Oryzias latipes: one gene and its partners. The protein of the gene in region 1 purifies or fractionates together with the protein of each later gene. This does not show direct contact. Links are inferred from orthologs where the notes say so. Each region holds a gene or a part of one and is shown in the gene's direction. Other genes may lie near its edges. The genes, in order: c7h1orf106, cep170 and cyth2.

Evidence for each region.
Region 2: the proteins of c7h1orf106 (region 1) and cep170 purify together in Homo sapiens (co-immunoprecipitation; 3 studies listed by BioGRID and IntAct, counting the BioPlex papers as one, with this or other methods). This does not show direct contact. The link is inferred for Oryzias latipes from reciprocal best matches to the Homo sapiens genes INAVA and CEP170.
Region 3: the proteins of c7h1orf106 (region 1) and cyth2 purify together in Homo sapiens (co-immunoprecipitation; 3 studies listed by BioGRID and IntAct, counting the BioPlex papers as one, with this or other methods). This does not show direct contact. The link is inferred for Oryzias latipes from reciprocal best matches to the Homo sapiens genes INAVA and CYTH2.

Annotation. Positions count from the first base shown.
Region 1 is NC_019865.2:11,211,817-11,216,262, forward strand, and holds the start of c7h1orf106 (innate immunity activator protein), read left to right. Parts: upstream 1-1,537; 5' UTR 1,538-1,851; intron 1,852-4,446. Other genes in the region: protein FAM107B-like, read left to right, coding at 1-68. UniProt on the Homo sapiens protein: Expressed in peripheral macrophages and intestinal myeloid-derived cells, is required for optimal PRR (pattern recognition receptor)-induced signaling, cytokine secretion, and bacterial clearance.
Region 2 is NC_019873.2:16,496,682-16,500,332, reverse strand, and holds part of cep170 (centrosomal protein of 170 kDa), read left to right. Parts: intron 1-2,920; coding exon 2,921-3,013; intron 3,014-3,566; coding exon 3,567-3,651.
Region 3 is NC_019874.2:19,306,193-19,310,453, forward strand, and holds the start of cyth2 (cytohesin-2), read left to right. Parts: upstream 1-1,449; 5' UTR 1,450-1,572; coding exon 1,573-1,639; intron 1,640-2,621; coding exon 2,622-2,772; intron 2,773-4,261. UniProt on the Homo sapiens protein: Acts as a guanine-nucleotide exchange factor (GEF). Promotes guanine-nucleotide exchange on ARF1, ARF3 and ARF6. Activates ARF factors through replacement of GDP with GTP.

The DNA of each region.
Region 1 (4,446 bases):
AGAAGATCCCAGAGTTTGTCCGTGTCAGGGACAATCTGAGGCGCACGCAGACGTTTGATCAGCCGTGAAGCGTTCCATCTGTGTGTGCATACTCTCACCATAGTGGCCCTAAATATTTATGTTGAATGCCTACTACAAGACACATTAACAAAGAACAACTCTTTTTTTTATTATGGGTGTATGCATGCATAAACCAAAATCACAAGTCTACTTTGAGCTGGATTCCTAAACTGTTTCTAGAGAGAAAAAGAAGTGCTCATTTTTTCTGGAGACAGGAAACAATGCTGTAAGGATGAATGTTTTTTTTAATTATTATTTTTATGGTTGCTGAATGATTGTAATCTTTTGCAAGTTTTGATTTGCCCTCTGGCATTCTTGGATTAAAAGACATTGTTACTGCTTATAAAAGGGCTGTAATCATCCAAGTCTGATTTTATTTCATGTGATTGCCAACAGAACTGTCTTTTATCAAACATAACCAACCGCATCTCCAAGTTTGTTGAGGTGATCTCTTGTAACCTTTTCATTTCAAGCATTTAAGTGTTGCTTTGAAAAAAAAAGACATGTTGGCTTTCACCAATGTCTTGTGCTGGACACAATTCAAAGCATTGGGGATTGATTTGCAGGCAAGTCCTCTCTCTGCGGACTCTCGCAGGTCTTTCACACGGATATGGGACTTTGTTTAATTAGCTAATCTTTTCATTCCATCACGGGTCGAAGAGAAAAAAGGACAGGCCATCTGGTGGAGCCTTTTCAGGAGGGCTAGGAATACCCAAAGGTCTGATTAAGGCACTGCAGACATTTTGGACAGTCACAGAACGCACTGGCTGAGGCTGGACTCTCAGTTTAAGTAATGTTTAGACTGTTCTATCACTTTCTCAATCAAAAAAGAGCATTCAAGAATTGGCATAAAAAGTATTTAAAAATTGCTCTTTGGAGGTAAATTTGTGAATTTATCATAAACCTTGAATATGATGTACAAAAAAAGCTTATGCATATATGTCCTGAAATGTTTAAGCTCAACCCATGAAAAGTGTATCATGTTTAACTCAACAGATGTGGAATTATAAAATAAATAAAAAAGTCTGCATGTTTTTTTCTTTTTTTCTGATAAGGTAATTTTGTTATTTTAAACACCTGGACGAAAAACAAATATAATAAATAGGAAATGACATGTTTGCTATGTACAAAAATCACACATTGTCATTCAAATAAAATATTCTATTATTTTTAAATATTGGCAAATGTTACAGTGTACTTTCACCAAACTTTTTGTGTAAGGGCTTTCCTGGATTATTTTATTTTATTTATTTTTTTGGCAGTGGATTCACAGAAAAACGAATGGTCGGGGTGATTGCATCTTGTATACATTTGCCATCTTAATTCTAATTCTAATTCTTTATTTTTCATTTTTTAAATAAAGTTGTGTCTGTTTTGCACCCTCCTCCCTCCCTTTGTGTATTTTTCCCCTCCTCAGCGAGTCGTGTGCTGTGTCAACAGACGCACAGCGTCTTTGAAAAGGCACAAGCGTCAGACGAAACCATTACCGAATGTGGGGGAGTCCGCCAGGAACAGCACCAAACAAGAACCGTTATCACAGGGACTCTAGGCTTGCAACCCTTGAATCAAATATAAAAGCTAAAAAGAGTAAAATAAATGTACTTAGATGTAGTTTTTTAAAGTTTTGTCTGTTCAGTGGGACTGTGTTTTTATTGAATCCACCCCTCTTCAAAGTGGAATTTTCTGAAACAGATGTCCCAGGCGCTCCGCTAACATCTGACCGGAGAAAGTCTGTTCAACTTCAGCGGCTTCAGAAATGATGCTGTAGAGGAGAAAGACACAAAGTAAAAGGTACGTAAAGACGGCTCTCTGGTGATTAACAGATTATTTAAAGGCAGCAATGGGAACGAATTAAAAGCAGAAACATTTGCCAATCGTTAAATTAAAGATGCTCTTGTCAGGGACTCAAGGAAATGGCACCGATTTTAGTTGAAAGTCATTTAAAATATTTTAAATTAATTTTTGCATATTTTTGCATAAATCTAAGGTATAAAATATGTCAAGGTCAACATGAATCAGTAGTTTTATGTACCAATGTACTTTATGTAAATGTTTTTGGCTGAATTAAATGTTGCACAGTGATGTATCCTGCGTGTAAATTTATTAAAAGTTAAATATAACATTTTCTTGTAAGGCTTAATTTCATTTTGATTCTACATTTACAGACAGATGAAGCATCCAGATGCTATACTGCTGTATATAATACTGCTGTTGTGAGATGGGTTTTAGTTTTGTCTAATCAGCTTCCTTAAAGTGAATTGTGTAGCTTTTACTTTTTGTGGGGCAATGGGGCAGTTGGTAGCTATTGTTGTTCCGGCACTACAATAAACACAATCTCACTGAATCCACGTGTAGAGGTGTGATGGGACGCTGTTGTGCAAATGGCAACACCTCTGTGTTTACCTGTTAAATTCTCTTGTGGAGAATAAAAAAAAGTGGTCTGAGATGATTTAGGAATCAACTATAAATTAGAGGGAGATTGCCTCGATCTTACATCTTTCATTTATGACAGAATGTTCACGCGTGTGTGGGTTATGTCTGCTGTATTTTATATTGTTTTTATACCATTTATTTTGATTTTATTGTTACTATTTGACTATTTTTGCACCTTAATCTTGTTGTAAAATGTTGCAATGACAATAAAGACTATCTATCTAGATATCTAGATCTATCTAGATCTAGATCTTTCCTCTTGTGTTGGGACAGTACTTAGCTTGACGCTTGATGAGATTTCACAGATGTCTCTGGAAGACTAAGGTTCTCTTAGTCAAATTGATCTGGATCAGTGCTGGCTGAGACAAGAGAAAGGGACCTTGGAGTGCTGCAGAGAATGCCTGTGCACATTAGCTTAGGAGTCTTCTCTTTATGTTTTGCTTTAGACTGTATCAGGATCCAGCACTTCATCCTAGGGAAATGAGCTTGTCCTAGTGACGCCCTTTGTAATCTAATACCTCTTTTTTTTCATCCCATCTCCTCCTGCTGCTGCTGCTCTGTGTCGATACACTTTTCTCTTCTGTTGCATTCAGAGAGGATCCTTTTTGCTGAATGGATTTTGGCTTTTCATCAGGCTCTTAAATAAGGCATGCTGTAAAGTCATTTGGGTTCTTCCATAGTATCAGCGTTCACATGAGAATCTTAATTACAGGGTTTGAGCAGGCAGCCTTCACTGTTTCTGGTCCCCATCGGTAATTCCAGGGCCAACCACAGTGGTAATGAGCACGGTGGTGGTGGCCGTAATCCAGGAGTACGCAACTCCAAGTGCTCATGGGAAAGGGTGGTGGTGGAAGTCTTGGAGACAGTAAAGCCACATCATGATCTCCTACCATAAACATCAACTTCCGCAGATGTTACGGATACACGGTCCAGTGAACTGTGAGGATGGGTGGTACGGTTAGATCTCCTTCATGTTTGTAGGTAATGGTGTTCACATGCTGCATCTGTCAGATCTGCTGGATGGAGACAGTCCTATTAGGGCTAGTTTTCCTCAGGACATGTTCTACTCTTCTTGTCACACTCAATCAAACAAAAACTCTTGTTTTCCTTAACAGAACAGAATTCCCTTGGACCCAGGTTCTAAGAAAACCCTTGAAAAATGGCATTCACATTTTTTGGCAAAACTCTGCAGCTCTAAATGAGCTTAACCCAAACCCACCCACTCACTCAGCCTAGATCTGCAACCACAGACTCTTGTGAAAGTCCTCAGACAGTTATGGGGTGTAAGTGGGTAAGTCCCACATTACCCTGCCTGTGTCTTGTTACCATCCTAGATTCCTGACGACGTTCTTAGAGTGCTGCAACATGGAGCCATGTGTCTGCAGGCAGGGAAGGCCACAGGCACACACATGCTCCTGTCTTCACCTCTCACCGTCTATCAACGCACAACAACGCGGCTAAAGCCTGAGCTGTCAGCACATACTGAGCACGCTGCAGTTACTGAGGTCACTTGTTGGATGTAGGGCCTTTGTTGCAGTGTTGTTTTACAGACTCGAGCTGTCTGCTTCATTGTGTTCCTGGCTGCTCATAGCTGAGTCAGTTCACATGAGTTACTGTGCTGAATAGGTCAGACCTATGGGATATGGAAAAACATGCTTTTAGAGAATGTTCTCATTCACATAGATGCTGGGTCTTCCTCATCCCAACAGGAAAAGGCCTGATATCAATCTCCAAGCACAGCAGTTGAGACAGGAGCAGAGGATTACACACTGAAGCTTTGATGACACATTGTTATTGTCTGATGTGATGTCTGTCTCAATGTGGTCCCCACACCCTTCTTATCTTGACTAGAAACACTTCCTTTCTGCTAACATGGGTTTTGTTTACTAGCTTTATGTTGACGTAAAAGCTCCTCCAAACGTTTATGACAGTCTTTTATTTTGTAGTCTTGTA
Region 2 (3,651 bases), on another chromosome or scaffold:
CTCTATGGCTTTACTTGACCACAGCCCCTCTACTCTATCCCGCTGAATGTATTGCCTCTGCTCTGTAATGTATTGCCTGCAGTGAACTGCTGCATCCAGCGCTGTTCTTGCTTATTAAAATAACACCCTAGGGGGGCTAAAAAAAACCTGCAGCCTCACCTCTTGGTGCAGAGCTCTTTAGTGGTCAAAGAAAGCATCTGAAAGAGGCAAAATGTGGTTCAGTCAGTATAAGATCAAAAAAGGAAAGCAAAGACAAACTGCTAGTTGTTTTAACCACAGTTTAAATAAAGTAGGTAAAATAACAGCATAATCTCTTGAAATAGCAACAGCTAGCTGTTGAGTGAAATTGTCACCTGCAGACTCAGATGTTTAAACTCAAAGCCGTATTCACTAAACGGCATCTTCGGGGCCTGTGAGCTTGAATTGCTGTTTTTTTATGTCGATGCTAGCTTGTGACCAGCAGTGACATAATTAGAGGAGTATATATCCATTCAGTCTGCCTGAGTCCATTATGTTCTTAGCTGGGAGCATTGCCATTTTAATTCCTGTAATTAGCTGACATGTTAATTGGTAAGCTGCCCACAGCTGTCTGCTCTCTTTTCTCCCCACGTTTTCGTGAAACGCTTGTGTGATTTTGGTTTGTTCGTGTGTCATTTGATCCTTTAGTAGAGACCAGCATTAGTCATTTTTTGTAGCCAAATATACATTCGTGTTAACCTTCCGAACAGTAATAAGTGATTACGTGCTTTTAAAATTTGGTTCACGTGTATGGATGGATATTTCTGCAACCACGTTGCACACAAAACTTTCTAAGTTGCAAATAAAAATACTAAATATTTGCTTTTTCAATTATTTTTATTTTGCTTTCAATTTTTTTTTTTTGCTTTCAAAAACTTTTTTCTTCAGCTCTTTTTATCCTCGATTTTGTCTCTTTGGATGAAGACTTTTTCTTTTTCTTTTTTTTTTTACCATTTTAACAATAATTTATACTTTCTTTTTTAGCATTAATTAATTTTTACTAAGTCAGATTTTTGAATTTATGGCTGAGGATCTCCTGAAACTTTAAAGTTTATCTGCTGACATTAAATCAATGGGCCTGTATGTGATCTGTCAAAGTAGTTGTTAAAAGTGTGATTTTCTTTAAGATCTGTTTGTTAAAGCAAAACAATAAAAGATATAAAGCACATATTATTTTATGCTGCACAAGTGTTTGGGATTAGATGAACAGCAATAAGCAAAATAATGATGGCTCACCACAGTGGACTCAATGTATTTAGCAGAAGAAGCATTTTTGAATTATATGTCAATTTTTACTGTGTCTTGTGTTTTAGAACTCGTAAGCGTTTGTCCAAATTGAAAAAAATTACTCGTGGAAAAATGCTATTTTCTCTTAATATTTCAACATTTATTGATTAAAATAAAACAATAGTTCTGACACAAATTATAAATGTTACTTCCTGCTGGACGGACCGAGTCGGAGCTCTGACATTTTTTTTCTGCTGCAGATATTTATACACGTTGGTCACTACACTGACATAAATAAATACAAAACTTGGTTTGATTTTAGCTGCTTTGCTGCTCTTTCTGGGTTTTACTCTGAGAGAAATGGGCCATAAGGATTGAAAACGGCAGAATCCTGTTAGAACAAAACCGACACAAAGTCCACGTCTGCCTCCAAGCACCGTCAATATGTTTTTGATGCCATTTCCCTCAACCTCGCCTATCTTTATAAAGGAACTCCTACTCCGTCTGCTCCCCAACCACAGCTTCACGTGACGGACACTGTTGTCGGAAAAAAAAAAAAAACTCTGCTTCTCTGCTTTGACAAATCAAAACAAAGCCATCCGAAGACTGTTCCAGCAGGAGCTAAAAACGGAATCCCCGGCCATAACTTTCTGGACTTTACTTCATGGTCAAATGTGTTGAGAAAAGGTTTGGCTTCTGCCAAACAAATATCTTATAAACAACAAAGTGCAAGAGGTTTCATTCAAGATCATTCATAGGTTTTATCCAACAAATCAGTATATGCAAATGCTAAAAAAGGGATATTAATAAAAACTCTTCTTTCTGTTCTCAGTTTGAGGAAACATTGGTGCATTTCTTTTGGACCTGCAAGTACACTGAAAAAATCTGGGATCTTATGTTTTCTTATCTTATTTGGTTACGTTAATTATATTAATACATTTTTATCTCAATTTTATTTAATAAATCTTCTGATTTTATTAACCAAGTATTATATATTTACAAATCTAAATTCAGCAATAAAGCTCCTAATTTTCTTGATTTACTAGCCCAAATTAGATGTTACTTACATTCCATTTCCCCCAGTACAAACAAAAAAGCAATTAAAACGTATCACCTTGCTCAGCTTTATAATTTAATATAAGTTTATTTTCTTGCTTGTATATCCCTTGGCGTTTACTTTGAACATTTGATGTACAGTTTATTGTTCCTTGTTCTTTTGCTGTATGTCACCTTTGTTCTGAACCAATTAAAAAAAAAAAGCACCGTCAATATGAGACAGAGACACCTGATTGGTTAGAATCTGGACCAATTAGCAGCTGTTTGATGGCAGCTTTGTCATGTCAAACTGAAACTTAACTCAGCAAAATCAAAGATGCGAAAAAAAGGGAGATTTGACACAACGCATGCGAAAACATGTGTTTTGCAAACGCAAAAAAAGTTTTTGAATGCAAAAAAAGTTTTTGAATGCAAAAAAAATTTTGAAAGCAAAAAAAAAAAATGAAAGCAGAATAACAAATTATTTAAAGCAAATATTTAATAGTTTCATTTGCAACTTAGAAAGTTTTGTGTGCTACGTAGTGGCAGAAATATCACTCCATACACATGTTGCATGTGCAAGTTATACATGTTTTATTACCTTTTTTTTATTTGATCTTAATTTATCTTCATCTTGCAGGTGTTTGGGGTCCAGGATAATACGGAAAACTCTCTTTTATCCGACCTGAAAAGAACAGGGAAAGAAAAGGAGAGTGGAGTACCTGGAAAAGAGGTAGACTCTTTGTATTATTCATTGAATGTCCTCTTTATTTGCTACATTCATAGTAGATCTACAAAAACCTTTGTAGATGTGAACGACCGCATTTTAGGAGTAGAACACTCCTGGCTGAGGTTTATACCGTGACTCACAATCACTCCTGTGACTTCCCGTGCTAGTTTATGGGAGGAGGCCAAGTCTTCTGAGTCTGACCTAGATCATACTAAAATGAGGAAGACTTACTCAGCCCTCCAGGCTATTTCATAAGAGGAGGGGTCAGTGTGCTGAGACAGTGTCTGCTCTGTCCATCCTTTAAGCCCTTTAAGTACGGTACATGGTTTTTGTGTATATGTAACGTTCAGAGTCGTTAATATCTGGGAACCAAATCAGAGCAAGAGGGCCGTTAAAATCCCTGCCACATGATATTGAATTTTAAGTGATTCATTGATGCAGATTTGTACAAGATTACTTGTTTTTTCCTTTTGAGTTTTGGATTTAGAATTTTTAGCAGTAAATTCTCATGATGTGTTCAGTGGTTCCTTTATCGATCTTCATCACTCTCTGTTAGGCTCTTACCGGTGACTCTAGCTGGGTGTCTCAGTGGGCCAGTGTAGCCGCCAGTCATACCAGGATGGACCCAGAAGGTTCTGGAG
Region 3 (4,261 bases), on another chromosome or scaffold:
GATCAGTGCAGAACTTCTACAAAAGTAATTTTCTAAAAAGACTCTTTACAGTACTTGTTCAAAAATAATAAGGTTTTAATTTTTGTAAATCTTGTTTACATTCTTTGTTGGACTCGAGAATAAATCATCAGCATGTGCCATCGGATCTGTCAGTAAATAATGTGCCAACTGCTTGAATCATAATCAGCATACCACGCTGGGCCAAATCTTTATAGTAAGTCTTTAAATTGATGAATTTTTGAAATGTAAGTTCCTAGGTACCCTTTAGATAATGGAAACTGCAATATGTGTATTTTGCATTAGGTCTTAATGGGTTCAACTTCATTTCTGACATTGAGTCAAATTTTTGACACGTTTATTGCTTCACATTGCAGCTAGAACACTATACTAACCTTGTGCTTACATAGCTACATAATGTAAGTGCAGCATGTCAGGTTGTTCTTGTGAATTTGAATTATGTGAGAATCTGCACACACTTTAATTCTAAAATCTGCCAAACCTTTTTTAGTTCACATTGAAAGTCCGGCTATGAAAGCTTACTTTTCTAATCCTGTTGTTGTTTAGAGCCAGAATGGGGTTATAGTGTTAAACATACGTTTGGTCTGATTCCTTCCTTGACAATGCCAGTAAGATGTCTATAGTTTGCTGCTTGTAAAGAAATTGTAATTATTACTAAGCCAATGAAATCATATTAGAATGTACAGTTTTTAGCTCTGTTTTCAAATAAATGTAGCTCATCAATTTGTCTTTTTTTTGTCACACTTTGTCAATAAAATATGCAAGCCTTATAAGTGTGCATCACTTTGCCCTTCCTTAATTTGAACAGTTTACTTTTAAAGCATCTTTCATAGCCTCTTAGTTTGGAAAACAATCTGATCTAAACTCAATAGGTTTATGACTTTGACATGGACTCACTTGTGGACTCATAAGGTCCAAAGGACTTCATTTTGCGTTCCAGAGCCAACAGATGGTAGGCAGACTTTTACAGAGCTTTATCAGAAAGTTAGTAATTGACGTTCACACAGATTTTACAATTTACTCGTGAATCAAATTTTAAACACATTCAGTAATTGAATGTGGTATTTACCATTCTTCTACAATGTTCTAAAAATTGTTTACCTTATTTCAATTTTTGGAAAATACAGATTATGGCTTCAATGTATAAACTCCACAAATCAGTGTTTTTAAATGTTTCATTTATTTTAATTGATTTTTTTTGTATATTATCACAAGGCTTTTTTAAATTAAACCTGGCTTTTATTTACTAAGTCATACTTTTAATAAGGAATATTTACATCTCGACATAATATTTCTATTTTATTACGTATACTCATTCTGACCGTGTAAACAAAGCCGATAAACATGTTGCTGTCATTCTCCTTACACAGTCAAATCCAGAGATCATTATTTTGAAAAACATCTGACCGGAAGTACATCTCTACAAACTCAGTTACCACTTCCGGCGTTACCACCTTCTTTGTCTACGGCCCAGGATTTCGCTACCAGTGGTTGTTCAGTTTTCCTTTGATTTGAGAATATATTACTTTATACATCCCAATTTTTTTTACATTTATGACACTCGACTCTGATTTATTTATGCCTAAAAGTAAAGCGCCAAAAATGGATGACCTGGACTACAGTAAGTGGGGTTACTTTCGTTTTTTTGCCCATAATATCGTAGCTAAACGTAGCTAGTTGTAAAATATACATGAAGATAAACACGGCTTTACATATTTCCTTAAATCAAAGGAGTGAATTGTTTTATATAATCACGTAAACAACAAAACAAAGCACTGAATGAAATAAACAGCTACCTAAGACACAGTCAGTGTGTGTCGTTGATTGCCTCGTCGTGCTAGTTTAATAAAATTGACGTCGCAGATCTAAACTTGCCACTGAGTCGGGCTTTTAATGTGCATACAACAATATTTATTAAATGTATAGGCTTTTCTTCTAAAATGTAAACCTTATTTACACCAGGCTGTGGGCGTGGTTGGTGGTTCAAATAAATTATTTGTGAGACAGCTTCACGCTGCAGAAGATTGTGGATCATCTTTTTTGTAAACAACTTTATTGCAAATGAAAATGTTGACAACAAAGGTTTGTGGAAACAACTGGGTTTTATATTGAGATTCTTAGTTGGCTACAGAATTTTACCCGTAAAGAACAAGGTCAAGCTATTGTGACTTATTTCTATTAAACCTTTTCAACGCACAAATTACAATACCACCTTTATCATTCAGATGTTTTTGCACAGGTCTTTACTTGGGCCAGAGTGATGTGCAGTGGTTTTTGGTCATATTTACCCGGCAACCTCAGTAAAAAATTTCCTTATTTGCTTGGACTATTTAGTCAACAATTGAATGAATGGAAAACTTTTCCTTGAGTGGCATCATTGTGTGTCAAAATCCATCCATTAATGTCTGCCCCCCTCCCCCCATGGTCTTTTTTAAAATGTTTTTTTTTTTTATAATATCCCCCAGCTGATATTTCAGTTTCAATCAAGTCCCTTTTGTCTTACCACCACTTGAGCCGGTTGACCCAGATTGGTTAGGCATAGTTTAACCATTTATGATGTCCAGCTGCAGTAGTGGTGCGATCATTCTTCTCTTCCCCTGCAGTCCCAGTAGACTTGAGCCCAGAGGAGCGCTCTGAGCTGGAGGACATCCGCAGGAGGAAGGGCATCCTGCTGCAAGAGATCCAGAGGCTCAGGGAAGAATTAAGAGAAGCAATCTTAGAAGTAGAAGGTCTGGAGACTAGCACAGAGGGCAGGTAAACCAAAAAAGAGAAACCTGTGTTCTGCTGATGCATAATTATTTCTAGTGCTTATTGTCCATAAGTTGAAAGCTCATCTTTAATTCTAATTTGACTGGTGTTCTTGTTCCATATGACCCATTTCACCAGTTTATCTTAAACTACTGTATTATTTATCTGGCTTCACAGAGTCACATACCTTATTCTATCTTATACTTAAAGAACAATTCATGTAACTTTTGTCTTGATCAATTTGTTTTGTATTTAAAAGAAGAAAAAAGGAAGCAATACTTTCATAATTGCAACAATATTAACCTTTTTATTGTGTGCATACATAACACATGTAGTTCCAGGCATCCAAAGCAATGAAACTTTAGAACCATATAATTATAATTTACCGTATTTTCCGGACTATAAGTCGCCCTTTTTTTCATAGTTTGGCAAGGGGTGCGACTTATATTCTGCAGCGATTTATATTAGAAATAAATTGAAATAAATACATTGTTAACCCTCCTGTTATGTTCATTTGTGAGGAACAGAGATGATGTTCCTGGGTCAATTTGATGTATGAGGTATGTTAGGTGTTAAGAGTATGTTAAGTGACTTAGAGAATCAGCAAACCTTTTTTTACAGTAAGATCTTGAAGGCTAACAACATAATATTCTATTTTCCAATGATTTCATAGATTCAGAAATGCAATAAAAATGACAACGGTTTCTACAAATACAGGATGAAAACAGAGTATTAGTGTGCCAATGATGCTTCATGAAAGGAATAAATAAATAAGTATGAGAAAGAATTACGGTGAAATTATGAGATAAACAGTCTGCTATGATTGTGTCATATGAGGTTTTGCAAGTTATTAGTTCTTGGTCTCAGATAGGCCTGCACAATATACCGCAAATTTATCGTTATCGCGACATCAAGCTTTGCAATATGCATACCGCAAAAGACGGCGAAAATCGCAATAAATGGTTACCTTGACCCTTGTGCTATCCTAGGCACTTTAACATTGGGAGTTGGGTCATCTAGACCCATTAGACAGTGCACTGAACCTTTTTTCTTCAATTATTTGTGATCTTCACTGGTGTCTATGGATTACATGAAATCTTTCCACCTTTATCCACCTTTGTCATGCTAGGAATAACACATCAAAGTAAGGGGGGGGGGGGTCATCTAAGATAGCACAAGGGTTAAATGTGCTAAAACAAACTCATGGCCGCTTGAAATATTGAAAGATGAAATAAATACCTTAATGCATTTAACCAATCGGAAGGACCCGTTTACGCTGTTGATCAATCAAATGAGCCCTTTTATTTTTGATGTTTGCCTCCTATGTCGACGAGGGTCATTTGGAGTATAATTTTTAAACTGTTGCATTGAAATGGAAATGATGTTTTTGGTTGGTTTGATATTTGTTTATATACCGCAAATTATATCGTTATCGCAATATTAATCACCAATATCGCATATCGCGAGTTTTCCTCATATCGTGCAGCCCTAGCCT